Arabidopsis thaliana: one gene and its partners. The protein of the gene in region 4 interacts with the protein of the main gene of each other region in a pairwise test. Each region holds a gene or a part of one and is shown on either strand. Other genes may lie near its edges. The genes, in order: AT1G01240, AT5G18550, AT1G35490 and MYB6.

Region 1 (7,551 bases), on a different chromosome or scaffold from region 4:
AGAGGAAACGGGCGGGCGAGAAAATTTGTCACGTCGTTTATCACGACACTACATGCTACTTTGGTTCCTATTTAGTATAATCCAGCATTCTTTTTCTTGAATGCCAAAAAACACACAACGCAAAGTCGCAAACAAGCCACATAATTTGATAATTTTAACTGACAGGAATACATCCGTAGAGCGATTTTCTTAACGGTTGTTTCCTAAAACATTTGAAGTTCGACCTAAATTGACCACGTGGAAACACATGGAAATTGTGAACTCAATTCATTTTCCAGAATATATATATGATTGGTATGAATATACGTGTTTAAGAACTGAACCATATATATGTTTCGTCCAAAAAAGAAGCATCCGTATATGTACCTCTTGTATTATCAGTTCGAGTCCTAATTAAGCTCGACACTTGATCAAATCCTAAACTCGACTCTATACATGAATATTTGTATTTCATGTTTTTCTCACAGCATCATACAATTCGGTATTTCCGTCAAACAATTTAAGTCAATTATATGTAAGCTCATATAAAGATGTTTTAAATGCATTTTCGAGAATTCAATACCACATTATAGGTTACTGAAGCAATTCTTTTAGAGAACATGTTAGTTAATCAATCTTGAATTGTTTTGGGGCTATTTGACCAGTTAGTCCTTAAATATTTTGACATGTGCATATTTTAATTAAGCTGTAGTACTGTAACACTAATAGTCTAATAGTATGTTCGTGTAGGACACACGACAAGACGAGGACGCGGAGATGGTACAAGCATAGAACCAAGAGTTGTCTGGGTGGGAAATTTGAAATTATTAACATTTGTCCTTTGTATCGTCATTATACAATTTGGCACCACATAATAAGATATTTAATACAACACGTGTTTTAAAAATAACGGCTAAAACGATACTCGAATTTATTATTTCAGACAAGGATTTGTTGCAACAACAATTTAGTGCTATTTAGTGGTTTGGAATCGATCATAGCATCCAAGAAAAACGAATTATGGTTTATTATAAATCGGGAAATTTTTTGCTTCATTTTGAACCATAGTAGTAGTACTCAATGATGAACAAAACATCTTTCTGCTGGAAATTCAATAAAGCTTCTTACAACCATTATTCATAATAAATACGGAGATATAATATCACATTTGACCCCAACAGATAGAGGTATATTAATTGCTATCTTAGATATGAACAAACAAACAAAAGAGATATGAATTTTAAAGACATTTGATGATGAAAACATGTATTTTAGTCGTCGGTGCTAGTAATTGACGTCTCATCATCCAGACTTGCCTATTGTATGATATTTGAAAGAAAAAAAGAAGAAGTTAAAACACATATGTTTTCAATGTTTTGGAATTATCTTTTAAAGTCACATTTATCAAAGGAATTCGTTATACAGATTTGAATTTTGGGATTTAGTCAAAAAGTTTTGTATATATTTCACAGAAGCATGCATAAACACAAACTATTCAAGTGATCACACTTTTAATTTTAAACATCCGTGATAAATTTTAAAGCAACTAAGACCATAATCATTAAATCTTATTCCACCATGCTTAGAATTTAGAAGTTCAAAACGCAAATACTATTATTTTTTTGGAACCCCTAAAAAGAAATTATAAAATAAAAAAGTTTGGGTCTGAAAAACATATGGGCCTTAATTAGAAAATTGGGTCAAATGAGGTCCACTTGTAGCAAACTTTCAGCTCAAATATAAGATTTATTTGATTCCAACATTCTCAAGCTTCTGATGAATTTCCAAGTTTGATGCTTCTCAATTTTGTGTAGCAGAGAGAGAGAGAGAGAGAGAGACCCTAACCAAATAAACTTCTACAGAAGATTAAATTTACACAAACATCACACAATACATACATTAACAAAATATACACACAATTTTAGAGGTAAAGTGAAAAGTTATAAAACCTAAAACTCTTGAAAAGATGAGTGACCAAAGAGAAGACATTTCAAGATTCTAGAAGGGAAGCAACCATCCAACAGTCCAACCTAAGAGCAAACCAGCACCAATGAGACTAAACCCTAATGCAAAAGCCATCATATATCTCCCAGTCTCACCCTTTTTCTTCTTCTCCCCTCTCTGTTTTCTCTTCTTCAGATTCATTCCTTTGACCTGTTCCTCTTGTTCTTCTTCCTTCTTCATCTGCAGATAAAGAGCTTCCATTTCAAGAAGCTTTAACCATTGCTTATAAGCCAACATCTGACTCGCTTGTTTCAACAAGATTGTTATCACACGGTCTTTCTCAGCGCAAGCTTCTCTCGCTGCTCTCTCTGCTTCTCTTGCCCTGGTTTGAGAATGCCTTAGTGCTTCTAAAAGCTGACCTTTGCTTAGATCATCACTTCTAGGGGAAGACATTGGACTCGTGTTCTTGCTCTCTGTGCTACCATTGTAACTCAAAGATCTCTCAAACCGATCCTTCCAAACTCCTTGCTTCCATGGCGATTTAACCGCTGTTTTAAACCCTTTTTCTCCACTCGAGGAGTGAATACTCTTGTGGAGTTTTTGAGGTGGAGGAAGATCACAATTCTGGATATTATGATCAACCGATTTAGTCGCCACCATGAGAGCTAATTCATCTTTATCCGTCGTGCTTCTCCACCACGGTGTTGTAGCGTCAGCTTTCTTGCTAATAAAGCTGTAGTCTTCTTCTTCTCGTATTCCGATTAAGTCGACAAATTCATGCAATTTCTTGCATTTGGTATCTTCAAGAAAGGAGTTTGTAACCTCCTCATCAAAACCAGTTGATCCCTTAAGCCACCATTTGGTATCACAAGAGAAATCAGAGGAATCTCCAAAACTTCCGGAAGAAAAGCTGTTTTTTTCGGTGTTGCCCGAAGAAGATTGTTGGTGTTGGCAACAAGCTAACCTCGGAGCCATCTTAGCATCCTCATGAACAACAAAGCAACGACTAGCTGTTCTTTGCCACAATGCTCTTGCTTCAGCTGCTCCCATTATTTCATTAAGACACAACAAAAATCCTAAAAAATTAAGAGAAAAGAGAAACACACCAAATCAAAAGACTGTTCTTTTTTCACCCAGATCCTGTAATATAAACATAAAAGACATGGGAAGGATTAATTCGTTTTTCTTGCTACTCATGAGATTGCTTCTAAGCAAATGATTGATTCATAGATAAGCCAATGATTTAAGGAATTTACATTAAATAATACACGCAACGTCTGGGAACCAAAATATATTCAATCAAAACCAATTCAACGTATATGAAATCTTAAACAATCTTAACAGATCCAGGAATAAAGAAGACAATATATTTCACCACCAAATTAAACACAACAAGACATAAGTTTCAGAGCAATTAAGACATACTGCAGAACCAAAAAAAAAGAAAGTCTTGAGCAGAGCAAACTACAAAGATCATGCGTAAGATTTCGCAATGGGATCGAGTAAATTTACCAAAATTTTCAGAAATTCCAAAATCAGAAGTTGACCCAGGAAACAAAAATCATCACTGATCCATGAGAAAACAGTCTGATGGAAGAAACTAGAAGAACAGAGACTTTTATCTAAACAAAACCACGAAAACAGAGCAAAAGAGTAAGATTTGTAAAATAGATCAGAAAACGAAGTAACAACTAAAGATACCATTATTAGTAGTTTAAAGAATCCATGAATCACTCTAGAAACAAATGAAGCGATCTTGCGCGACCGAAGCTTTTGGCTTTTCTTCTCTTTTTTTTTAATTTTCGTTTCTCACACTCTCTGGCCCCATGGAACCAAATTTACAGTTTCTTCCGTAAAAGCTTCCGAGTTAGGGACACAAAACGACACAGTTTCAATAACTTGTTTGGCTTGGTAAGCATCTGAAACAGCTGGATTGACAACACGTGTTGGCTAAAGAGAGAATCGACGGCTATTACGATATGGACCCTACTTTCGATTTAATGGATAAGATGTTTTTATTTATTTTCTTACATTGGACCACAATAAGAAAAAAAAAAAAAAAAATCATTAGTCTTATTCCAACTTTAATTAGTCATTCTTTCGTTTTGTCGGCTTTAATTTTGCAGGATATATCATGTTTTCGGGGTCCAATTAGCATTCTCTTTTTTTTTTTAATCACGTTAATTGATTACTTTTGTTAGCTTTATTCAATTTTGAAGAGGGATTAACTATTTTGTATACGTACACCATGATATAATATCCATCCAGGTGGACTTTAACTATGACACGTGTCATTAACCAGCTGTTAGAGATCTTGTAGGCAGCCACGTGTTCTTTAGATCCCACTGAATCATTACGCTCAATCGAAAACATTCTGGTGTTATGATAACTCATGAGTCACCACGACAGGAATCTTTGGGCCATTGTTAAATTCAATTATTGTTCAAGCCCATATTGCTATTAGGCCCATTATCTGAAGTGAAGTGGGGAGATGAAGGGAAAGCTTTTTCGTGTCTATTATAAAAGGTAAAAGATGAAAGCTTCAAAATTAGAGAGTTTACTTACAAATATCCAACAAAAAACATGACTCGAGAATTAAACCAACTCATATGAACATTTACACATATATATGTTCGCTTATATCCCCTTTTCCTTCTTTCAGGTGTTCTCTTGCCGTAAAGGAAACTTATTTATCACCATTGATACCAAAGATGCGTACCTTGTGCATGTTGGGGAACTTGGCAACAACGAGAACCATCACAGCGAGTGTGTTGAGGAACAGCCATGGATGTCTGTAATCTGTTGTATGCGATGCAATCAAGTACCTGTTTTAAATGTGTCGTTATAAAGTCAGAAAACAAGTACAAAAGCTAAAGAGCTCAATCTTAAAAGTTCATCCAGATAAATGCAGCTCTTGTTTATACACATTATCGCGTATACAGAGTTCTCTAGAACTAGTCCGTTACACATCACCGGATTTAGATATGTGTATTGAGAAATTAGCATATTTATTAACCATATGAGACACAAGGATATATGCAGCTAAAGAAAATAATTTGCTAAGAAAATATAGATTGGAAATAGACAAGAGTGGTGAGATTTTGAGGAACAAGGTGCTGGGACTTACAGAACAACAGGAACTAGGGTAAGAAATTTGCGGTTGCGGGTAAGCTGTTGACCATTGTCCATTTGTTCCCACCAAGTTAAACCATTGTAGATTCCTTGGTCATCTGCAAAAGGAGTTCCTTTCATCCAGTGGAAGCTGTGATACGTTACCTGACAACAAATATCCACAAATTTCTACTCAGACATCACATTTTCCTAAAGAGTAATTAGAAATTAGATTAAATTTGGTTTTGACAATCAAGCAATGCCAATTTACAAGTCACCGCATTATATCAAACAGTTAGACCTTAAGAAATTGCATTGATGCCATAGGTAGTTTTAGTTTCTGATATCAAAAACTGATAATTCATTAACGAGAAGGTGCATCTTAATTCGAAGCCTGATCCAAAACCGATCAATTCAAACTTAGAAGAGAATTGCATCTTACTTAAAAGCCTGATCAACTCAACAGTCAACACTGCTGATAGTATCCAAACAGATCAATTCAAAATCGCTGATACCAAAACTGATCAATTCATTGATAAGAAGGTAACTGTATCCTAATTCGAAGCCTGATCCAAGCTCAACGATATACGATAGCTAAAACTGATCAATCAGAAGGTAATTGCCTCTTCATTCGAACCCTAAACCAACTAAAAAATTGCTAATAACCAAAGAGATCAATTCAAACACTAGAGCCAGATTCACATCCAGATCTCAGGAAATAAAAAAAAAACAAGGAATCAATCCATCATCTAATTTAAAGTCACAACCCTAAGTGAAAAAATCATCTCTAAAGCATAAACACAATCGAAGACTTACAACGAAGTGAGCGAGATTAACAACAGTCCAAGCCATTCCAGGGGAACAACCAGAGACAGAGAGAACAACGAGCCAACCGAAGAAGAGAATAAGCATGTAAGTCGTCCAAACTCCTGGATACATGAACCATTCCGTATTCCTATTCATATCCGGTGGTGGAACCGCTTTCACATACAGATTCGCCATTTCTTCTTCAATCAGATCGGATCGGATCGAATCTCGTCTTCTTTTGATCAAAATCTTATATTAACACCTGAACTAAAAACCCAGATTCACAAAATTCTCTATTTCGGCGAGAACAAGGATTGTTTGTTTCTTTGGTTTAATTTTGTGTGCCCGTGAAAGACGACGACTGCTTTTTTGCATCTACACTGGGCATTAATTAATTATTGGGATATTTTTGACATTACCCAAACCAAAACGTCTGCGTTTTCATTTTGTACAGACAGAAAATAGGCCAACAAATGCAATAAAGGGAACATAAAACCAACATGAGGATTCTAACTGAAATGTTTTCTTATGTATATCGAAATTCGTGAACAAAGGTGATAGGTATCTGTTTGTCACCTAACATAGTCGGTATCAGAATCTTCTTCTTCGTCTTCTTCTTCTTCTTCACCTTGCTCAATGGTCTTTACGTCAAGGTTGAGAGCCAAATCCTCAACTGAGACCTTAATGACGTCGCTTCTAACACCAATATCGGTAGCATAGCGACTCATACAGTACATACCAGCAGTAACTGTTGCCACACCAATGGGACTTGGAATAAGCAATTTGAAAGGAGAAGAGAGGAGTGCAGCCAAAGGAGCACCAACAATTGAAGAAGCTTGACCGCTTCTCCCTACACCGAGCTTATCCATTATAAGCAAACCGGTCTTGCAATAGAGCGCGAAATCCTCACAGTTGTTCTTGAAAATGTCGTAGTTGCCAAATCCGTTTTGGAGAAGGTACATTGCCCTGTGGATGACTGAATCAGTTGTATCAGATTGCGCGGTTGTGCAAGTCCCTCCGCGGACTTTGGTTAGGAAAACCGATGGACTGACTCCATATTCGAAGCAGTAGAGTGAGCCGTTCTTGAGGAAACAGTCTAAGCAAGAAAGGACTACTCCACTGTCCGGTTGTCTGAAACCGCAATCAGGAAATATGGAACAGATATCTTCAGAGGAAGATGATGATATTGATGATGTTGATGAATCCATGGGGTTGTGTTCAGGTCTGAAATGAACAACTTTGGACCCACCGACAAAGATTCCTGCAAAAATCCACAATCAAATCAAAGCCCATGAAGGAATGTCTACAACAGTATCAATTCTTCATCACCAGAGGAAATTGGGATAAAAATATGTCAAATAAACAAAAATCATCTATAAAGTCCATCAGAGATCAGAAGATATGATGGAATAACATCAAAATACAGAGCCAGGGTGAAATTAGGTCATGCAAAGATTGGAATATAGACCATTGTCTTCAAGATCTATCTAGATAAAGTCGTCAACTTTGTGAATTTACAGTTTCAATAAGAAGATTAAACCGACCAGTAGAAACTAAAAGAAAAGACTTGCATTGAGGATAATTTCACTTTTTGATGTTATGATTGAATGAACGAGAAAGAAAGGAGCAAACTTGGGAAGAATGAATCTAAAGTTACCGTGGTGAGAATAAGCGAAGATTGCTCTGTAAGTATAGATGTGATCTCCTGGC
Region 2 (8,621 bases), on a different chromosome or scaffold from region 4:
AAGATCTTTGGGTGAATAACACAAAATCTCCAAAAGCTGCTCACATGTGGCCAATACCTCCTCTCCAAGTCAAACCTTCTGATTCTATTTTTATTCATTCCATATATGTAAAAATGCATCATAATAATATTTATAATTTGCAAGCCTCGCATCAAACCATGTTTATAAATGCACCATGAATTTGAACTAATATAATGATTTGAAACTTTTGTCATTCATTATTCGATTTTTATTTTTGCACTATTTTTTTTAATCTAGAGTTGAATTTTCTTTACCTACTGAGGCCAAGTATGTGAAGACATATTATTCGTTTGTCCAGCATTTTTGCAGACAGAGAATCTCCGCCGTCTGATATTCAGACCAATGCGTTTTATAGCCGTTAGATTGATCAATTACAGTGTCGCCTTTTTAAGTGATCTAAAAGTCAATACTCTCACTATGCCCCAACACAATCCTCCATGCGGCTTAAATTCACGCGCTTCAATCATTAACCATAAAATGTAAAATCCAAACTATATGTTTTTGACCTACAAAATTCATTGTTCGTGAACTATATACTTCTCCACATACCAAAAATGTAAAATCCAACTATACAAGTATAACGGGTGGTGTGAAAAAACTCCCATAAACTTAAATCGGTTTGACAAAACTAACTTAATGCACTACTAATGATGACCTTTGTAATCAATCATCCAAAGCATTAAATTTACAATCCATAGTATACAATATGATTTCTAGTGTGAAGTGACTCTTAAACGTTTGGTGTTGAGTGCGATTCACACTCTTTGCGTGAGCGTGCAAGAAAAATACTTTCCGTATTTACATCTACTCTTTCTCAACACGTGGAACTTCTTTATTTGTTGCAAAACAAAATCAAAAATTTCTTATTTGCCTTCAAGTCTTTCTTGTGTTCTTTTGTATTTTGATTGTTTGCTATCTAAACAAGTATATTTAAGCTTAAGTCCAAATCAAGACAAACAATAAAATATTTCATAGATGATGGTTAGTAAAACAGAATTAATTTTCTTATTTTTCATTTTTGAAACTCTACTGTTTGTCTTAGACTGCCAAAACCAAACAATGTGGTTAAGACCATCATACTATTGCTCTTTATTTTTATTGTTTTATCTAAACATATACCTTGTAATAGTTTTTGCATGCATGTAGAAATGTTTTTTCCTTTGTTCGTATAGAAATTGTATTGTCTGTCTTGTTTGAAACGTACACATGTTTAAAATAAACAAAATTGTCAAGAACTAAAATTATATTCTCTTTAATTTACGTATAGGCAGGCTCAACAAACACATGCTAGTCAAAAAGCTTAGGCGTAGAAAATAATAACATATCAATCCTAAAAATATACTCAGATGAGTCGAGGTCAACATTAGCACAAATATCTAACTATCATGTTCCGACCAGTGTAAGTAGTAGCGACTAAGCAGTTTTTCTTTTCTTCAGATTAGATTAAAATATAATTAGCAGATGGAATGGTTGGTTGAGTAAACTAAAAATGTTAACGTCAATTAATAACACATGAATTAATTTTGACAAAGAAATTGGCATATTCCTATATTTGCAACTTGAGCCGACACAATTTGTTTTCTTTGACTTATTAAACTTATTTTTTATTTTTTCACTTTGACTATTTTTTCTTAACTATTAGTATAAGTAATAACGATCTAAACAATCATGTTTTGTGAGTAAAAACTCTTCAGAATACCATTATTTTTTTTCTTAAAATACAGATCTTAACATTCGATCGTTAGTGTTTTGTTGACCAAAAAAACTGCTTAGTTTCATCACTAAATGTTATTATAATTTTACATTCGTAAGAAATTGAAACATAATATATTTCCCACGCCATGGAATCATTGATTGATTCCTTTTTTCTTCTTAGAAAACACAGAGATTTAGATTTTCTTACTGTTTTGCTGCAAATGACAATCATGTCCTTCACCAGCATATTCGAGTTTTCTCCACGGACGTGTCATGATACAAAGGCTTAACTATAATTTACGCAACACTTACATAAAAGGAAAATCAAAAATGAGTATTAGTGAGTTTGAGCAGTGAAAATTTTAATGCTCCCATAAGGGTTTTAGAGTTTTATATATTTGGTGTTACAGTAAAAAGGTAGTAATACTTTACTTTCGTTTTCTTCTCTAAATCTTGAACTTAAAATGATTAAAAAGTGAGAGAATAAAGAAAATATTTTTTTCCTTTTCTCTTTTAGGCGACAAAAATTTATATCCGGTATCTCTTTTTGTTTTCTGATCGCATGTTTTTGTTGCTAATAAATCGATGTAAATTATTTGCATCAACAAGATACGAATCGTTTATTTAAGTGATGTAAAATTTCTTTACATCAATTATAAGTAATACAAATATTCAATATAAGTGATTTAAAATGATCTTTTTTTTGTAGTGTGTGAAGATGTGTGGTGATTGGTAGGTTTTTCAGAGTAACATAAATAAGTCATAACTGTGGTAAGAAATTACAATAAACTCCCAAGAACGAAAAGAATAGTTGAGGTTCAAATAAAGCCCTAGTAGTACAATATAAATGAACAGTACAAAAAGTTAAGCTATCTAATATGGTGCATCAACTAAATCTAGGAACAACCATAAGAATATTGTAGATCATTATTTCCAATTGGTAACATCATGATATCGTATAGAAAAATAGAATTGAACGGTGCAATCAAACATCTGAATTAATCAAAAACTTGGAACAACACATAGATACCTTAATCATGTAAAGTGACGAAGCAATGAATAAGATCGTCATTTCGAAGACATATGTAATTCAAGAATCAACCGTTAAACGAAAAAAAATATTATAGCCATTACAACTTTACATATTACTTGTACCACCAAAATACGTTGTTATTTCTAATAACTCTTCTAGAACAATTTATTTGTTAAATACGTTTAAGCTAAGTTAGGTTTAAAACGATTAATATACCAAAATAAAGTTTTCATCTATTTTATTTACTTGTTAATCATGTAAAGTGACGAAGAATCGATGAATATGATCGTCAGTTTGAAGACATATGTAATTTAAGAATCAACCGTTAAACGAAAAAACGGAATCTAGCCGTTACAACTTTACAGATTACTTGTATCACCAGAATACGTAATTATTTTCGGTGATTCTTCTAAAATAATTTGTTTGTTAAACATGTTTAAACTAAATGAATTCTAGAAAGATTAATATACCCAAAAAATTAATACCATTATTTAAATTAATCATCAAATGAAGTGATTATTGTAAATATGATTAAGAAAAATATTGAAACAGAGAAAATCAATATTGATGGCAAAAGGAAGAAATAAAAAAAGGCATTAAATTAAGAGAGAAGTCATTTATTCTATGTTTGGCGCGTATATTAACCACCACCGGCAAAACACCCACAAAAAAAGCGAGCACGCATAAAGAAAGATCAAAACTTCCCCATCCCTCTTCCAAAATCCATCCCCTCAAAAAAAATAAAAATACTTCCTTTCGAAATTTCGCTAAAAAAAAAAATCGAAGCCGAAAACAAATAGTAGAAGAAAGAAAAAAGTTTCAGCTTTAAGGAAAGAGATCAAGCGACTGAGAGTGGTGTGGAGACAGAACCAACCACGATCTGTGGTTTTTTTTTTTTTGTCCTTTTTTTTCTCCAATCTCAGAAATAAAAAAAGTTTCTTCCCGACACTCCCATTTGATCGGAGGGCTTCGACATTGGTGGGCTCTGTTTCGCCGCTCCGGCTAAAAGTTAGTGTAAAGCAAAAATGGAACGGTACGGTGGCGCCGGAGAAGATGAGTCACGGTCGGATCCATCACATGAATGGTCCGCTCAAGGAACCGAAACTGGTATCGAAGGTAACGTTGATTATGGGTTTCCTACATTTTCTTTCTCTCTTTTTGTTAATGTCTGATTTTTACGGGGTTAAATCTGCGATTAGCGTTTTTGTCAGAATTGAAAGTTTAGATTTTTTGAAAAATAAATGCGGCGTTTGTAGCTTCGATGTGGCGGTTAGGGTTGCGAGGTGGTGGAGGTGGAGGTGAAACGTTCCCGGAGCGACCCGATGAACCCGATTGTATCTATTATTTACGAACCGGTGTTTGCGGGTACGGGTCTCGATGTCGGTTCAATCACCCACGAAACCGTGCTCCGGTAATAAAAACTCTCTCTCTCTCTCTCCTCTGTTTTTCTGGGTTTGTTTTTTTGATAAAGTGACTGCCTTTTTTTGTCTGCTTCCTATATGTCTTTGATGTTGTTAATGGGCTGATTTAGATTAACAGATCCATTGTTGAATCTACGATCTGATATCACTGAAACAGAATCTAGGATTTCTAATTTGTTTGGAAGCTCTCTCATTGGATGTTGTTAGTTTCGATTTTTTCAGGTCTTGGGAGGTCTCAGAACAGAAGCTGGAGAGTTCCCTGAGAGAATGGGACAACCTGTTTGTCAGGTATTTTGATTCATCTATTTAAACAAAATTGGTTCCCAAGTTAAGCAATGCACAAGACAATTCATCTTCTTTGTTCTGTATTTAAGACTCTGTGATTTAGTGTTGTAGTCTATTCTCACTTTGATATTTTCTTGTCACAGCATTTCATGCGAACAGGAACATGTAAATTTGGTGCTTCTTGTAAGTATCACCATCCTAGACAAGGAGGAGGAGGAGATTCTGTTACTCCTGTCTCCCTAAATTACATGGGATTCCCATTACGCCCGGTTTGTTCAATCCCGCCATGCTCTCGGTTTCATAGGTCTTTTGTTTTGCTGTATTGTGGTGAATGATCTCTCAAAGTTTCCTTACAAATGGATTGTTACAGGGGGAGAAAGAATGCTCCTATTTCATGAGAACCGGTCAGTGTAAATTCGGTTCCACCTGTCGATATCACCATCCAGTCCCTCCTGGTGTACAAGCTCCATCTCAGCAGCAGCAACAACAGTTATCCGCTGGTCCAACTATGTATCCATCGCTTCAGTCTCAAACCGTTCCTTCATCGCAGCAATACGGAGTAGTTCTAGCAAGACCTCAGCTCTTACCAGGCTCATATGTTCAAAGCCCTTATGGTTACGGTCAAATGGTTCTTCCTCCTGGTATGGTTCCATACTCGGGCTGGAACCCTTACCAGGTATTGCTCCAAAGAAACCTTTATTTGTTCTAACTTTTCTTTCTCTTGTCTTAGTAAACCTCATTCCAATCATGTAGGCTTCTGTAAGTGCGATGCCTTCCCCTGGGACTCAACCGTCAATGGGAACCAGCTCTGTTTATGGAATCACTCCGTTATCTCCCTCAGCGCCTGCTTATCAATCCGGTCCATCTTCTACCGGTGTTTCAAATAAGGAACAAACTTTTCCTCAGCGACCTGAACAACCTGAGTGTCAATACTTTATGAGAACCGGAGATTGTAAATTCGGAACCTCTTGCAGATTCCATCATCCTATGGAAGCAGCATCGCCAGAGGCAAGTACCCTCAGCCACATTGGCCTCCCACTTCGTCCCGTAAGTCATATATACGCCATTAATCATGAAATTCTCATGATCAAGAGTAGAGTTTTAGTAATGACTTATGAGAAGTTAAAATGGAAAACTCTGTTTCTTGATGTGATTCTGAAACTCTGTTTTGCAGGGCGCAGTGCCATGCACTCACTTTGCGCAACACGGTATTTGCAAGTTTGGGCCTGCCTGCAAATTTGACCACTCCTTGGGCTCTTCTTCACTAAGCTACAGCCCATCCCCTTCTTCACTCACGGACATGCCCGTCGCACCTTACCCCTCCTCGCTCGGCACATTAGCTCCATCATCCTCATCTGACCAATGCACTGAGCTTATCTCTTCCAGCTCTATTGAACCTATAACAACAACAACTGGTGGCTCAGAAACTGTGGCTGCTGGAGTCTCTTCTATGACCAGTGATGTGAGCCATCCCGAGCCTGCTGAGACCAATAAAGGTGATTCAGCTAGCAATGAGGCTAAGACTTCAAGTTAAAGAGACAAATCTTAAAGGAGAGAAGAGAATCTCTCTCTATTCTTCTTAGATTATTATCTCTCTTATTCTCTCTATATCTCTCTTCTTCTTTTCATCAAACTTTCATGAACTCAGGAACATAAAAAGGATATTTTTTGGGTGGAGAGACAACAACAGAAAGCAAAGCAGAGAGATAGACGAAAGGAGTTCTCTCTACTCTTCTATGTCATGTCTCTCCTCTTAGGTCTCTCTTACCATGTTCATATTATTCCTTCATACGGCCATCTCTCTGTCTTTTGTTCTTCTTTTTCTTTTTGGAAACGATGATTAATAAATGGCCTTATATATTCACAAAAATCCCCTGTTTATTTTTAAAACTTTATGGAATATGGGAATTAACTAATTAATAGTCCAATTTTTATAGACTTATGCTTGCGGATGTTTTCATGTATACATGTCAAAGTATTTTCTTTTTTTTAATAGAAAAGTACAACATGTTATACAGTAAACGCAACCTCAATATTCGTTTGAAGCAATCCGATTCTAAAGATTTGTTTGGAAGAGTAACAAGAAGTGGAAGAGCCTGACGAAACAGAAAGCAGAACAGAACAGATCTTAGGGTCACGTTTCTTTTTTTGTTCTACATTCCATTCCGTACGACGTTGATCATGAGATACAAACGTAAATATAAATGAAAAAGAAGTTAAAAAAAAAAAAAAACTACTGTTAATGTGGAAGTAGTAGTCAGTAATTCTCGTACTTGGTTCTTTGTGTTGGTGATATAACATGTGCATGTGTGTGGTTTGTTCGTTGCGTCTAGTTTTACTCAAACAACAGAAAAACCATAATCATGAGTTTGTTCACTGAAAACATCACAACTAAAGTTCTCAACAACCCAATAAAAACTACTCCTAATCATTAAATGCTTTTTCTCTGAGTTACTACTTAGATCTACCATAATTAAGACTGTTTAAAGATTAAAGATATACATGTCTTTATATACGAGTTACAGTAGACTTCACATAGTTGTGGAGATATTAATCGATTGTTTAATTCTTTTTAAAATTAAAATATCGATTGTTTTAAAATATTTTTCACATACTCTACAGTCTTTATCGAGTTAATTTATTTTTTTCTTATAGTAAAATGAACATTTTGCCTAAATCGTTATATATATTGACGCATGCAAAACAGATAATTAACAATACAAATTTCAGTAACTATTTGGAAGTTATTTAATTTGAAGCTAGACAAATTGTGAAGCATATATATATATGATGAATTCCCAACGTATATATGTTTGACTAGTATAACAGGATTGGATCTTTGTTGAGTTAACAAAAAAAGTGTATAGTTGATCAACATTGGAGAAGGCACTAATTGAGTTCTATGAAAGAAAGTCAAAAACCTTAAACAGATTTAAAAATGAAATAAAGAGTTGTGATGTTGAGTTGTTGTAGACAAAAGTTAAGGCAAAATATAGGCAAAAGGAGGGAGACATGAAACAGTGATTGTGCAATGAAATACCAAACAAGTCATGACCAAAACACATGTTTAACGACCAAAAACACCATCATGCTACTTCACTAAAAGTCCATCTCACATTCACTAATTTTAAATTTTAAATTTTATAACTTAGACTCTCAATTATGTTATAATTCAAACTAACGTCAAAATTTATAACTGTCATAAAATAATCATAATATCTGAGCACATACTGATCAAAAATAGAAAAATGGGGTATTTGCATCTGATCTTATAATCCTAATATTACATGTGATATATTAGTTGTTCACTCCGATCCTAGTCATTTATCCGTTTGGAGCAAGTCATTTGATTTCATTATTATTATAATATAGCACACTTATAAAATATACATAATGAGTGTGTCGAAGTAGCATGGACAAAAAGTGGTCTTTAATACAACTCGGATTATCCCTTTTTGCTAATCAAAACCATAATACAAATTAAAGAAAAAACAAATCAAAACTTCAAGGTAAGGTAACCTTATGATGCATGAAACAATAAGCAGGATTTATATAATAAAGTCGATAACATATAGTTAACAACAACAATCAAACGACCATCGAATAACGTAAATACTAATAATATTATTGCATATATAAAAAACATATATAATATAGAATGTTCTAAAAGACTGAGTAGAAGCCTGTAGTGTCTGCAACGACATCTCCAAAAGCAGCGATAGAAGAAGAAGATAAATCTTGCGGCTCCATCATCCCGTAATCTTCCATTGACATTGAAGCGGCAGCAGCACCATAGTTCGTGATCATGGCAGAGAGATCACACGAACCAAACTCATGATGATTCATCATCATCATCTCACCATCTTCGAAGTAGCTATTACTAAACCCTCCATATGGTTCAGAGGCTTTGCTTGCTACCGGAGTTGTGAAACTAGCTCCGGCTTGATTTTGGGTGGTGGTGGCCTCCGGAGGTGGTTTAAGGCAGTGGTTTGGGACAATGCAATCCAAGTAACCCGAGTTGTTATTGGACTTATTATGTTCTTCGCTTGTTAAAGAGAAGAAGAAGTTGTTTTCTTCGTCTAGTGAAGAAGATAACGAGCCGTTAGAAGATGAGTTTTGAGGACTATTACCAAACGCTTGAATATCCACGCTTTGATGACGAACTG
Region 3 (7,668 bases), on a different chromosome or scaffold from region 4:
CTGGACTTGAAACTTATTTACGACTCAATGCCACTGAATTTATGCTAACAGTTAAATCAAATATTTACCTAACAAAAATATTACCTAAAATCTCTCATATATTAACTCCACCAAACGAAATCATTCCTAAAATCTCTCATAAGTATTTATTAATTTTCGGTTTTAATTTGCTGTAAAAAAATCGATTTCAATAAAATGAATTAATCATCCTGATTTTTCATTTTAAATCATTTATTTTCAGTTTATAAAATGAATCAAATTTTATATTACAATATATGCTTTAATATATTTATTAAAAAATTAATTACGTAAAATTTTAAATATTTGAAACCCTAATTATTTTCCCAATCCACATTTTTCGTTTTAAGTTTGCAATTGTACAAAATAATTATCACTCCCTAAAACTTTATTTTTTGATTTTTATTAAATTTTGTTCTTTTTCTGACAAAAATAAATTGTACATCTATTAATCTAATATTGCTCATTCAAATAATATTAACAAAATGCTCAAATTTAGGCTATTAAAATAAAAAAAGTTAGTCAAAAGCACAAGTATATCAATCCCAAATTATGATTAAACTAAATATTTATTTATAATAATTTTTACCAAAACAATAACATTATATATATTAAAAAATTTGAAGTACCTTTTTAAAGTACTTTTGTGTTAGTAAAGTAACAATTTAGAAAGAATATCATCACATTAAAGACAAAGACAATTCTTATTTTTTAAATATTATTATTGATATATCTTAAATTTTTAAACATTATTAATATTTAAACTTAAAAAAAAATAAAACATCATGAGACGAGAAATATATTTTAACTTTATAAAATATTATTAATATTTAAACTTATAAAAAATTTAAAATATCATGAGATGAGAAATATAGCGGAATGAGTTTGAATTGATATGAAATATAGCGGGACGGGTTTGGATTCATATAACACAGATTAAATATTTATTTTATTATTTTATCATCACTAAATTTTTTAGTTACAACATTAATATAAAATTATATAACTTTAATACTAAATTAAAACCGTAAAATTTAATATTATTAAATATGAATAAAACATTTGCCCCGTGGTATACCACGGGTTAAATTCTAGTTAGAGTTATATATTCGGAGATTATTTAGATTTGAGAATTTTTCCTAATCTAATAGAAAAAATATATGAACAAATTGGTTAATTTTTGTAACTTAGGGTTAGAAACTAAACAAAATAACAAATGATACTGCAAATCAGTTATTGAAAGTCTAAATAATACGCAATACAATCTTTCTTAATCGTTGTCAAATTTGTAAAGTTTGTATATATAGTATCTCAACTTGAAGTTCTCCCGACGATGCTGAAAGACCATTTAAAAATAAATATATATATATATATATATAATGTATGTAGCCATAAAATCTTTTAAAAGATATGGATGAGAATTATATTTCATATCAGTTTTTTTACTTACTATGATTAATATGCATTTTTTGAGATGGAGGGTAAAATTAAAATACAATGGCGGCTTAAAGGATTTTTTTTTTTACTGTTGCATAAACCCAACAAATTACTATGTTTTCGTAAATTCATTTTTTAAATATTAATCTTAATTTTCATATTATCTTGACTGGTGTATAAAATAGTATACAGAATATTTATATATATATATATATATATATATATATTTTTTTTTTCCTTTTATTACTAGAATCGGTCACAACTTGTATATATATAGATAAAGGAAATTGTCAAAAAAATTACTTATTCATATATATAATAGATGAAATAAGAAGGATTACAAGTTATTACATAACATGAAGTTTCTTGACAAGAGATTCTCTACCATGCCATAAATAGAGAGAAATGCAATAGAGGAGGATATGGGCAACCACATTTTGATTTACATAACGATGCTTTTTTAGGTTTTCATTCAAGGCTACAAACATCAAGTTCACCTATGTTGTATGGACATTAAGGTAGAGCAAGAGGAGCTCAGCTTAATCTGAACAATGTATCCATATTTCCTAAATCATATTGCCAAGGCTGCAAATTGGGCATCGGGTTCTTGTGTAACAGGTGGTTGATATTTGTTGTATCGATTTTGTATTGCTTGGACTTGTTTTTGGTTTTGCTGTGGTTGTTGTTGGTGTCGTCGAAACTGTAGGTTTCCTATCTCTCTCTCAAGCAATTGCTGCTCCACTGTATTAACCAACCAAAATCAAAATTTTACAAGAGAACAAAATAAATGCATTTTGATCCATTTTAGTAGTGATATGAAAGGTTAAATACCATGTTTAAGCTTTTGGATTTCTGCTAAACTATCCATACGTTGTTTTAAAGCTCTATTTTCCATGCTAAGCATGAGTAACTGCTGATCCAAGTAGTGAATGGCAGATGACATTTCACATCCTTCAACCTATTGAAGAAAATCCAACATGTATAATATAACATTAGGAATCTTTTCATATTATTAATGAAATTAAAGAACTTCGAGAAATACACGAGCCTTTAGAATCTTACTTGTAGCACTTGGATGGTCCTTTCAAGGTCTGATATGTACTCAAGCCTTCTCAAACGCGCTCGATGAGCATTTTGACTGCATTTTAATAATTTTCGATAAAATTGTATATTATTAAACCGCATCAGAAATATGTTTATCAACCTATATTAGGAATGTGGTCTAACTTATCCCAACAGTTAGCTCAAGAGTTAAGGATTGCCAGATAATGCCTAAAGATCTTAATCTCAATCGATGTGGGACATTTTAATAACCTATTATAAGTACACATGACAAAGATAAGACTACTTACTGTTTGATACGTTTTGAGTCAGTCTTTGATCTAGGACCATCTGGTTTTGTAGAAGTTCCTTCTTTCATTTTGCTTACATGTTTCTCAATGGGTTTCGACGACATATTTAAAGCTCCGCATGACATATTTCTTTGGATATTAGTTCCATTTGCTGTAGAGAAATCCCATCCTAATTTATTGTGTTGTTCATAAGAGTTGGACTGCCACAAATCATAGTTCTGGAACTGCCAAGACGAACCAGCAACATGATTTTCCTTCGAAGGCATTAAAGCTGAGTTCAAGTAAGCAGCTGTGTCACTAGCTGAACGTCTATGACCTTTGTTAATCTTAGGTGATGCTGGCTCACTTAGGAGCTCATCGAGCCAAGCTGGTTGGTCTTCTGTGAAAAGATCATCTAAAGAAGCACTATGGTGGTGCATATTATTAGGAGGAGAAATGTTATTTTCCATGTTTTTTTGGGGAACTCGTGATTGTGATCTTCCAATGAATCCGAAATTTCCCGGGTTTGACAACCTCCTTAAATTTTCCATTCTTCAAAACCTATAAGGTATGAGCAAAACATGTATAAGAAAACCATTATCATGTAATGACAAGAATTGAAGATACAGTTTCTTTAACATGCAAAGAACATACCTAAGAAGACGTACGAGATTAGGAGACGTGTGATTGTTAGACCTTCCACGGGGAGGAAAATGGCATAAGCTCCTCCCGTGTGGTTGGTTTCGATCACCTCTTCTCCTTAGAATGCAAAAAAAAAAAAAAACAAGAAACAATCTCTAGATCACTAAATAGAGGAAGATACCATATTGAAACAATCCATGTTGATGATTTACATTGCGTGGTTTTCGTGAAAACAACAATTCTTGTCCTTATGCTTTATTTGGTCTATTATTTTCTCAGTTATTTTTGCTTTTTCACTTTCCCATAATAGACTCCACCATTGGTTTATTCAGACTGGGTTTATTGGTACACAATACTACAAAAGCTTCGAGGAATTCTTTCATTTTTTATTCATCGAATTTGTATAGTAAGCTCCGTAATATTTTTATGTGATTTATCTACACGCTTCTAATAGATGCAAAATCAAAATATTACTCTCACTATCATATGAGATTGACAATGTAATGACGTGGGACAATTTCTTTCTTTTTTTAGTTAATAATCTTTTCTATTTACATAATTATAAAATTCTAATGTTATTATGAACTTATAAAGTACTAGATATACAATATATATATATATATATATATATATATATATATTTAAGAGAACTATAAAAAAATAAGGAGAAACTTTGTTAAATATTAAGAAATTGATATGTTCAAATGTTTAATAATTTGCACTTTAAACTCTAAAGCTGAAATTTAGTACGAAATGTTATCAGCTTTAATTTGATAAATAATTATAAGTGATAGTTTGCACTTTGTAGATTCTATACCATCTCTATACTATTATTTGAGAAATGTTGTTAGCAAAATAACTAGATGTTACTAGATTTTAATCCGCGGTATACCGCGGGACGATTTATTTTTTAAAAGTAATATATATTAAAACTTGCAAATTTTATTTTATAAAATATTTATATTTTACAATTTATAATTGTTATTAACTAACGCTATACCACGAATCCATGAGACAATTGTTAAAAAACTGAAGTTTTAACCCCTATTAAAACAGCATATTAATAATATTTTAAAATTTTATAAATATTAATTCAAATACATCCGCCATATAACTCAATTCTAAAATAAAACCCGTTCTGTAATTTCTTTACCCGTCCTGTGATTTTTTTTTAAGTAGTAATTTTTAAAATTTAAGAATTATTTTTTATATAAAAGTTTTGCAAATTGTATCATTTTCTAATACATTTATATTTTATAGTTTAATTTTATATATAGTAACATTATACATACCACATAACATTTTTTGTTTTATATAATCTTTTCTAAATTAGGATGATTTGATATGTTTAATATTAGTGGTCTTAGAAAATAATAAATTAAAGATTTAACCCGTATTGAAACGGTGGATTAATTATATTTTATTTTTTTTATTAATGTTGATTCAAAAACCCGTCTCTCTAAATCTGTCTTGCCAAAAAGCCATTTATTTATTAATATTATTTTTATTAATGATATGACTCTGAATTATAATCTAAACATTTTAGTTAATAACATAGGAGTGCACCATATTTATTTAATAGGGGAATGTACCATATGAGCCGAACGCACTTTTATCCAAATCCACCAAAAAAGTCTTGCAAAAATACTATAGAGATAAGAAACGATTGTCGGTTTTGATAGGTATAAGATTAGCAAATATATTTGTTAGCTTAAATTAGTTAAAGAATACAAATTGAAAAGGTATATTACACTTTATTCGAATATAGTATCAAAACTTATATAACACAGAGATTTGTTATTTTTTAATTGTTGAATATTTTTTTTTGTGCTAATTTTTATGTGATTAAGATTTAATTGATTTCGTAAATAAAATATTAAATTGTTTACGAACTTATTTGTTTATAATTTGGTAATAGATAGATATTTGAATATTCAGTATATTTTGCTTCAGTTTAGGAAATCTTTGATGACCCATCTCTAGATCCAATAAGCCCTATAATCTAGATATTAACCTGCAGTATACCGCAAGTAGCCTTATATTTTAGTTAAACTAAAAACTTTTATTGTAAAGATGATTTAAAAATATATGATATTATTTTATTTGATTTTAAATGTATAGTAAACTGTGAGTTGTATATGTTTTGTTGATATTATCTATATTGTTTAGTGTTTAAGATTATACACTTGTAGTTTGATTGTTAATTTAAGAGTTTGACATGTAGTATACCATCTTGTATTAATATCGATCTAAACCCGTTAATTCTAGGATTTTCCAGCTTGTATTAAAAATTGAATCACATCTAATATGTTATTAATTATTGTAGTATATAAGATTATAAATTTTCAATATAATATGTATGAAATTGAATAGAAATAATTCAAATTATGACCAGTTACTCAGTAGAAAGTTTTCTTAAATCTATTTTTCATCCGTTATAATTTTTTTCATGTATTGAACAGTTTATATTCGTTTTTAAAAATTCAAATTATGACATATGCGAAAAAACTCAAATTATTTTTTTATAATGATGATATTATTTTTCGGCAAAAATAGAATCATATAAAGATGAGAAGTGAACTATAATAATTAATAAAAAATTAATATGATAATTTAGATATCAAATCTAATTTGTTGATTTTAATTGGTTACTTTTTTGGAAATTAATAATGCATTTCATTTTTCTAATTAAATTAAATTAATTAAAATTTAGATATCAAATCTTATATGTTGATTTTGATTGGTTATTATTTTTGGAAATTAATAATGTATTCCGTTTTTATGTTAAATTTAATTAATTAAATTAGTATTTGACTTTTTAATCCTTAAAGAGATAAATTAATTTATTCTTTAAAATTTTATTTCTAATGGCATACCTATGTAATTACTTACAAAAATTAAGGTTACATTTAAAATGTACTTTCCAAATAATATAGTAGGATGTGGGATATTACAAAATATGCTATTGGAAAATATTTCAGCTAACATTTTATTATTTTTATTTAAAATGACAAAAATCATATCTTTCATATATTCAAATTCATTATTTAATTTTTCAAAATATTGAAGCAAACGAAATGGGATAAGGCAACGATGCCAACAAACATCAATTACGTTTGTTTAACCATAATTGATATCCATAAATAGTTCTCAATCATTAATACAAAAAATCGTACTAATACCATAAGTAAACATAATATATCATGTCTTCTCTTAATTTTCCAAATTTGCTATTATTAATTTTTATGAGTTGATGAATTTCTCTGGGTATCAACATGTTTCACAGTGACAGTGAATCGTATCAAAGTTAATACATCCTCATTAACATTGAAACAGTGAAACTTTCACTCTTAATTCGTGGCACCACATCCTCATTTAGTTATCTATGCACATTTTAATATTATTTATATTTAAACAATAATTTATGTATATTTTTGGCAGAGATTTAAGTTTTATGTGAAAAAATAAATATTCAGCATCCATATATGATAAATTCAAAAATGCATTGTTGTTATATTAAAGAAACTATATAGTGAAATAAAATTATTATTTATTTTTAAGCTTATTATTTTAAATATTTTACACTATCTTCTAAAACAATATCAATTAAAATATAGAAAAATTCTTTCTAATGCTCTTTTCACACTACCTCTTTTTAATTCTACCCTTTTCTATTTATCATTTTCATTTATACCCTCTTCAAATTATTAATGACCATTTTACCCCTATTTGTAAATTGATTTATGTTAACAAAATGAAATATTAATATTTTTCGTCTAAAATATTCCAAAATAAAATTTCCCGCCAAAATTTTCCCGCCAAAAAATTTATCGCCAAAAATTTTCGAAAAAAAAAATTCCCGCCAAAATATTTTCAAAAACATTTTTCCCGCCAAAAAATTTCCTCCCAAAACTTTTTTTCACAAACATTTTAAAAGGGATTAAAAAGATTTTAAAAGTTTTTTTTTGGCAAGAAATAGATTTACAAGGGATTTTAAAAGGGTTTTAAAAGATTTTAAAAGATTTACAAGAGATTTTAAAAGAGTTTAAAAGATTTACAAGGGATTTAAAAGGGTTTAAAATCCTTGTAAATCCTTTTAAAACTCTTTTAAAACTCTTGTAAATCATGTTTTACTCTTTTATAAGCTTTTAAAATTCTTGTAAATTATACCACTTATTTATCCTTTAAAAACGATTATAAACCATGCAAACCCTTTTTAAAATCCCTTGTAATTCATTCT
Region 4 (7,095 bases):
AAAAAAACCTTTATTTCTCCAACCCTAGATTTAGACAGACTCGACCCAATAATCTACAAAAGTGGAGTAATGATGTATCTTTCAATCTAACCGTACCTAATCGATCGATGCCTGCAATTGTTGAGTAACAGATTAGGTTAGTTCTTAGACTATAGACTATTGAAATTGTAAGTCTTTGGTTCAATTTTGTTCCGTGGAATAAGAATTATGTTTAGTAAATGATCTATAATTTTAGAGTCCTGGAATGAAGATTTTAATGAATCTCTTGCAAATTCATGTAAATATATAGTCCTATATACTTCAATAGTTTATCAAATATGGTTAGTTTTGCAAATGATCCTAAAATTAATTAGACTTAGCTATTGATAGTTTACAAAATTATGAAGACTATAGTCTATGTTTATGTAGAAGATGTAAAAAGGTATATCAATTCATATAAAATAATAACTTAAACTCGTTAGAGAATTTTCTTAATTTTATTAATATTAAAAATGAGAGTGATAACTTCTTTTTTAATTTCCAGGAAAAGAGGAAGTCATGTTTGGCTGGATCTCACCTAAATCTCACATTCCCATTCCTTCTTCCTCCTCTTACGCACATGATTCTCTCTTTTGTTTTACATTTATATTATTGTTTCTTTAATTGTTTAGATATATTTATGCGTATGAATATGATAATATCTCTACGAAACCAATTCTTGTTTTCTTTTTTTTTCTTGTTCTGACGTCGACCAAAGATTTGTCTAAAGACAAAACATTTTGCTTTGCCTTAAGATCATATTGATAAATGTTTTTATCGAGACTTGGCTATGTCAAATTTGTTTCGGATAATCTATAAGGTTATAGTATTGATATATAAAATATTTATCTTATTAAAGATTAGGTAAAGTCAATTATTTTTTGGTACACAATATGGTTTTAATGATAGATTCTGCCACCTACCTGCCTAAAACATGTCACATGTCTCCTCCCTTATCTTATTCTCTTATTCTATATTTCTTTATTTAGTAATCAATTTGTATCTCTTCCAATCAGCTGCTTCTTCACATTCCTTTTCAATGTTTACGTCTATAGTAGTTCTTTTAATTAATTTCGTTGGCACCAAATTACGCTACAACTATAAGTATTAATAGAAGTTCTCAATTCTAGTTTTTTCCTAAACAATAAAAAGTTCTACAAACTAGAAGTTTGTTTGTTGAGATGAGGACCATGTGTCCTAGCACTATATATAAACTAACACCGAAAACCTAATGAAAAAAAATAGTTAACATAGTGAACGAGATATTTGTTGAAACTTGCTAGTTGCAACTATATGGTCCCCATTATAACCTAATTCAAGTTTCTAGAAGCTTTTGCTTCAAAAAACATATAAAAACTATGATCTATACCAACATGTAAAAATGGATAACGGTTGATCCATAAGAAAGAGTCCAAAAGGGACCAACCATGTTCACATTTCACTCCTACATTTATACTTCTACATTTTATAACAATATTGTCAAAATAAAATTCAAATTACTCATTTGCATTCCTAGACAATGGTGTAATATTCTTATATATTTCCATAAAATTATTTTGGAAACCATGTATCGTTTTTTTTCTTTTTCTTCAAAAGGTAATATGAACAAAAACTAAAACAAAAATACCAAAGAAACTGAAGTAAAGAATTTCTATATTTATCCAAAAGGACTCAAGCAAAAAAAAAAATGAAGTAACAAAACCCATTTTTTGGGATTTTTTTGACAAATTATTACAACAGTGACAAACGCGCCTCCATCACCGGGTCGCACCACGGTTTAGAATCAGCCGATGACCCGACTCCGACTATCCGACCCGACCAGGATCCAAACCCAAGAGTTAAATCCAAATTCAGCTTTATATGTCCTGAATTATCACTATAATAACACTCCCCATTCTGCCGGAGATCCTCGTCCGTCGTCGTGCCGCTAGTCGAAGCTCCGTTATCGGAGGAATTTTCCGTCTTCGGTTTAACGGCTAAATTGGAAAAAGAATACTCAACGGCATCGTTTTGAATAGGAACAACAACTTGAGACGACACCGTTTTGGATTCGTTAATCTGACGATGAGTTTGTGGATCAATACCGTGACTAAGAAGCTTCCTCTTAATATGAGTGTTCCAATAATTCTTTATTTCGTTATCTGTTCTTCCTGGTAATCTTCCAGCTATCAATGACCATCTGCAAAACAAAACATTTCAAATTCATATGAATAACAATAACAGAGGAAAGCTTTAACAAAAACAGAGGAAACAAAAAAGTGAACGACTCTGTTTCCTAGAAAGTTGAAACTTTTTTCCTGGGAAAGATCAAAGAAGAAGAAAGAGCAGGAAAACAAAGTGACCCAGTTTCTATTTTCTCTCTGTTTCCTAGAAAGTTGAAATCTTTTTCCTAGAAACAAGAGTAGGGAGAAAAAAAAAAGTGACTCTGTTTTTCTATTTTCACTCTGTTTTTTTAGAAGAAGAGAAAGAGAGGAAAAAGTTATCGTACTTGTTACCGAGTAAGCTATGGAGTTTGATGATGATTTGATCTTCATCATCAGTAAAATTACCACGTTTAAGATCAGGACGAAGGTAATTAATCCATCTCAATCTACAACTTTTACCACAACGCAACAATCCAGCGGATTTAGGAAGAGAACGCCAACAACCTTCACCGTGATTACGGATATAATCTACGAGACGTTGATCTTCTTCTTTAGTCCAAGCTCCTTTGTTTGTGTGAGCTTTTTCACAACAAGGAGATCTTCCCATGGTGAATGAAGAAGATGGTGTAAGAGAAGAGAGAAGAGATCAATTTGTGGGTTATATAAAAAGGAGGAGACTTTGACTAAGTTTGGTATATGTACATGTGACTATGTGGAGATAAAGTGAGGCTGTGCTTTGCTGTGTTGTGTGTGGGGTAATGGAGATTAGGTAGGTAAGTAAGTAACCTTCTTTTCTCTTTTTTTCTTGTCTCTTTACTTTTTCTCCTTAGATTTTGGTTTTTGTTTTTTTCTTTCTCTCACTGTTCTTATAATTTAGTTGGTAGTTAAGAAAAATACAATGCAAAAATAATATTTATCAAACATGTTATCTTTTGGAAAAAAATGTCATTAAAATTCTCAACTTATTGAAAACTTTGATTTAAATCTTGAACTCTCGGCGAACGAAACAAATATCAAACTTATGTTACTTTCCAAATAAATACCAAACCTTCTTGACTTTTCAAATAAATATCAAACTTTTGTTGACATGACTATATTAGGCATGATGTTCAGTAGGTTAATAGACCTTGAACGTTTAGTGTGTTAACATACTCGTTGATTGAAAACGACAACGTTTACTCTAACAATAAAACGTCATCGTTTTTGTCATAACGGCTCAATTAAATCTCCAGTTTCAAATCATATGGGGATTTAGAGATAGGAATTTTGCTTGATTTAGAGATCTTAGATTGAATTTGGGAATTTAGTTCAGTCATTATTACAAAACGACGTCACTCTGTTGTTGGAAACAATAACGTTTTGCATTAATGGGCCTCTGTTAACAAAAAAATTAACTCCGTTAACGGGATCTAGTAATTTACTTAACAGTGTGTCTAATATCGCCAGGTCAACAAAAATTAGATATTTATTTAGAAAGTCAAATATTTATTTTGTTTCGTCGAGAGTTGAGGATTTAAATCAATGTTTGCAATGAGTTGAAGATTTTAATGACATTTTTCCCATTAATTAAATTTAAAATTAACAAAAGAACGACGTCGTATGAAGGAGTTCTGAATTGTTTTAGTTAAATACAGTTTTTTAGTTGTTCCTGAAGAGAAAAATAAAACTGTGATTATTTCTTGACAAAAAATGTTTTTATTTTGCTTATCTTTCAATGGAGTTTTACATCTTTCTTTTATAGACTTCTTTAGAACAATCTAGAATCCTTGACAATGCTATCTTTAATCAATAGCTATTTATTGTGAATTACTGCAACGGCAGCGACTGCAACGGCTTGAATTTGTTTTCAAGTGTTATTGTCTTCTTCTCCGTATTAGTGACAGTCTTCTGTTTTGCAGGTAAAGAGCTTTTGGTCTTTATCTTCTTTTGCATATGTTGACTGGGCTTCTGTAGTGGGCTTTGTTGAGTTTGGGCTACCATGTCTTTGTTTTTGTCAAAGCCCGTTCTATTTATTGGGTTGTCTTCTACACCCTCCTTCAAACTTGGCGTGGGTGAGACCGGTGACGCAGACACGCCGAGTTTGGCTCTAAGCGTGATAAAGGGCCGTCGCGGTAGTGACTTGGTGAAGACATCAGCAAGTTGAATAGTTGCTGGGATGTGTTGCGTTTCTATGAGACCGAGAGCCACACGTTCCCTGATGTAGTGAAAGTCTTTATCGAAGTGTTTAGATCGTTTATGAAGAGCAGGATTTGCAGAGAGGTAGACAGCAGATAGGTTATCACAGAACACTCGTGTAGGTTGATGTTGAGAGATTCCAAGATCTCGGAGAAGAGAGGAAATCCAAGTGATTTCTCGAGCTGTATCGGAAAGAGCTCTATATTCGGCTTCTGTTGAGGAGTGAGAGATAGTGGGTTGTCTCTTTGCAGACCAAGATATCAGAGTAGATCCCAAGAGGATGCAGAAACCAGTAGTGGAGCGTCTAGTGTCCTTGCAGCCAGCGTAATCACTATCGCAAAATCCCGAAAGAACAGGGTTGTGGTGTTTTCTGATTGGAAGCCCCATGTTGATAGTTCCTTTCACATACCTGAGTATGCGTTTGAGAAGGCCAAAATCAGAGTTGGTCGGAGCGTGCATTCTTTGGCAGATGAAGTTCACGGCATATTGAATATCCGGTCTTGTGATTGTTAAGTATTGTAACTTGCCAGCTAAACTCCGAAAGTATGTTGGCTCTTCAAAGGGTTCTGAATTGAGGTCTTCCAAGTGTTGTGGCAGAGGGGTAGGCATAGGGTTGCATTCTGTCATGCCTGCTTGATGAAGAATGTCGGAAGCGTATGCGTGTTGATGTAAAAATAGACCATTGTTGTAAGATTCAATTTCTATACCCAAAAAATAGCGAGGAGGCCCAAGATCTTTCATCGAAAAGCGGTTGTTGAGAGCTTGAAGAAGTTTATCCATGAGCAGTTGATCACTTCCTGTGAGGAGTATATCGTCGACATATAAGAGGAGTATGAGACTTTGCCCATTTTGATGACAAACGAAGAGGGAAGGATCAGATGTGCTGCACTCAAAGCCAAAGTCAAGAAGAAAGTTGCTAAAGGTGTCAAACCAGGCTCTAGGCGCTTGTTTTAGACCATAAAGAGCTTTGGTGAGCCGACAAACGTGATTAGGCTTGTTAGGATCAACAAAACCAGAGGGTTGGAACATAAACACCGGTTCTTGTAATTCTCCATGGAGAAACGCGTTGGACACATCAAGCTGTTTGAGAGGCCACTCATTTGCAGTAGCGGTATCGAGAACAAGACGTATAGTTGCAGTTCGAACAACCGGACTGAATGTCTCAAGATAGTCGACTCCTTCTTCTTGATCAAACCCTTTGGCAACTAGACGAGCTTTCAACTTATCTATGGTGCCATCAGGTTTGAGTTTAGTCTTGAAAACCCATTTGGATGTCAGAATATTCATGTCCTCTGTTGCAGGAACTAGAGACCAAGTGTTTAGCATGTGAATGCGATCTATCTCATCCATAACTGCAGCGTTCCAGCTAGGATGCTTCATAGCAGTAGTAATAGTTTTTGGTTCATCAAAAGAGGATTTAGAGACAATGAGAGCATACCGGGGGTTTGGCTTCTGAATTCCATCTTTTGATCTTGTAATCATGGGATGGAGATTTTCTAATGAGCCTTGTCCTAGTGCATTGTCTTCATTTTGATCATTTAGTACGGGAGCTACTTCGTGGTCAAATTCATCATTTGATTCAGTTTCCTCATCAGAGCTAGTTTCCATATTAACATTGACGGCTTCCTCTGTCTCATAATTCATCATTGGCTGATTCTCACTTGTTGCCATAGGAGTCATTTGTCTTGCAAGAGGTTGTAATTGAGAAGAAGGCACTGAAGGTGGTGTGAGATCAGTATGTTGCCAAGCCTGTAGTAAGGTCGTCTGGTATTTTGGAACCAGACTGTGGTACTTTTCTTTAAATGGGAATTGAGCTTCATCAAAAATGACATGTCTAGAGATGTAGACTTTACCGGTAGGAGGATACAAACAGCGGTATCCCTTGTATTGGTTGTGATAGCCAAGAAACACGCATTGCAACGAGCGTGGATCAAACTTGTTCTTTGCTAACGGTCTCAAGCAGGGGTAGCAGGCTGTACCAAACACTCGGAGAGGTGTATAATCAACTTTTTGTTGAAACAAAGTTTCATAGGGACTTATTTCCTTGAGGACAGAAGAAGGCAAGAGATTACTGAGATAGTTGGCAGTGAAGAAAGCTTCTACCCAGAACTTGAGAGGTGTATGACTGTGATATAACATTGAAAGCCCAAGCTCTACCAAATGTCTGTGCTTCCTTTCGGCAACACCGTTTTGTTGCGGTGTATATGGACAAGATATACGATGATGAATGCCATGCTCTCTAAAGTGTTCTTTTAATTTGTTGCTTGTAAATTCTCCCCCTCCATCGCTTTGAAACTCTTTGATTTTTGTACCAAGTTGATTCTCAACCAATTTCTGATATGCAATAAACACTGAAATAAACTTTGACTTCATGCGCAAAGGAAAAAACCAAGAGAATCTTGAGAAATCATCAACAAAAACTGCATAGTATTTGAATCCTTGGTTTGATACAACCGGTGATGGTCCCCAAAGATCACAATGAACTCGATCTAAAGGTTTTAAAGCTCGAAAATCAGAAGAGAAAAACTGTAATCTAGTGCTCTTTCCCATTTGGCAAGGCTCACAAACGGGAGAAGTTCTGCTTTTATTCACTTGGATTTCCTTGCGGGTTAAAAGTTGCTGAAGAATCTTTGAGTTTGAGTGGCCAAGTCGATGATGCCATGTTTCCATGCTAGCTGCACATTGACGATTTGAATAGAGTGCTACAAACTCTGAATTCTCCAGCATGTAGAGCCCATTATTTCGTGGACCCTTGGAC

The links.
Region 1: the proteins of MYB6 (region 4) and AT1G01240 interact in a two-hybrid assay, tested with the Arabidopsis thaliana proteins (one large-scale study listed by BioGRID).
Region 2: the proteins of MYB6 (region 4) and AT5G18550 interact in a two-hybrid assay, tested with the Arabidopsis thaliana proteins (one large-scale study listed by BioGRID).
Region 3: the proteins of MYB6 (region 4) and AT1G35490 interact in a two-hybrid assay, tested with the Arabidopsis thaliana proteins (one large-scale study listed by BioGRID).

What each region holds. Positions count from the first base shown.
Region 1 is NC_003070.9:96,105-103,655, reverse strand, and holds AT1G01240 (uncharacterized protein), read right to left. Parts: upstream 3,791-7,551; 5' UTR 2,974-3,790; coding exon 1,978-2,973; 3' UTR 1,669-1,977; downstream 1-1,668. Other genes in the region: AT1G01230 (ORMDL family protein), read right to left, coding at 4,610-4,748, 5,051-5,199, 5,851-6,036; AT1G01225 (NC domain-containing protein-like protein), read right to left, coding at 6,414-7,102, 7,499-7,551.
Region 2 is NC_003076.8:6,156,741-6,165,361, forward strand, and holds AT5G18550 (Zinc finger C-x8-C-x5-C-x3-H type family protein), read left to right. Parts: upstream 1-3,356; 5' UTR 3,357-3,774; coding exon 3,775-3,865; exon of another isoform or gene 3,866-4,005; coding exon 4,006-4,160; intron 4,161-4,392; coding exon 4,393-4,458; intron 4,459-4,598; coding exon 4,599-4,724; intron 4,725-4,825; coding exon 4,826-5,131; intron 5,132-5,208; coding exon 5,209-5,502; intron 5,503-5,629; coding exon 5,630-5,989; 3' UTR 5,990-6,103; coding exon of another isoform or gene 6,104-6,111; 3' UTR 6,112-6,431; downstream 6,432-8,621. Other genes in the region: PUCHI (Integrase-type DNA-binding superfamily protein), read right to left, coding at 8,119-8,621.
Region 3 is NC_003070.9:13,057,525-13,065,192, reverse strand, and holds AT1G35490 (bZIP family transcription factor), read right to left. Parts: upstream 3,645-7,668; 5' UTR 3,441-3,644; intron 3,348-3,440; 5' UTR 3,338-3,347; coding exon 2,808-3,337; intron 2,594-2,807; coding exon 2,518-2,593; intron 2,414-2,517; coding exon 2,287-2,413; intron 2,197-2,286; coding exon 2,027-2,196; 3' UTR 1,738-2,026; downstream 1-1,737.
Region 4 is NC_003075.7:5,988,693-5,995,787, reverse strand, and holds MYB6 (myb domain protein 6), read right to left. Parts: upstream 2,881-7,095; 5' UTR 2,770-2,880; coding exon 2,507-2,769; intron 2,198-2,506; coding exon 1,750-2,197; 3' UTR 1,530-1,749; downstream 1-1,529.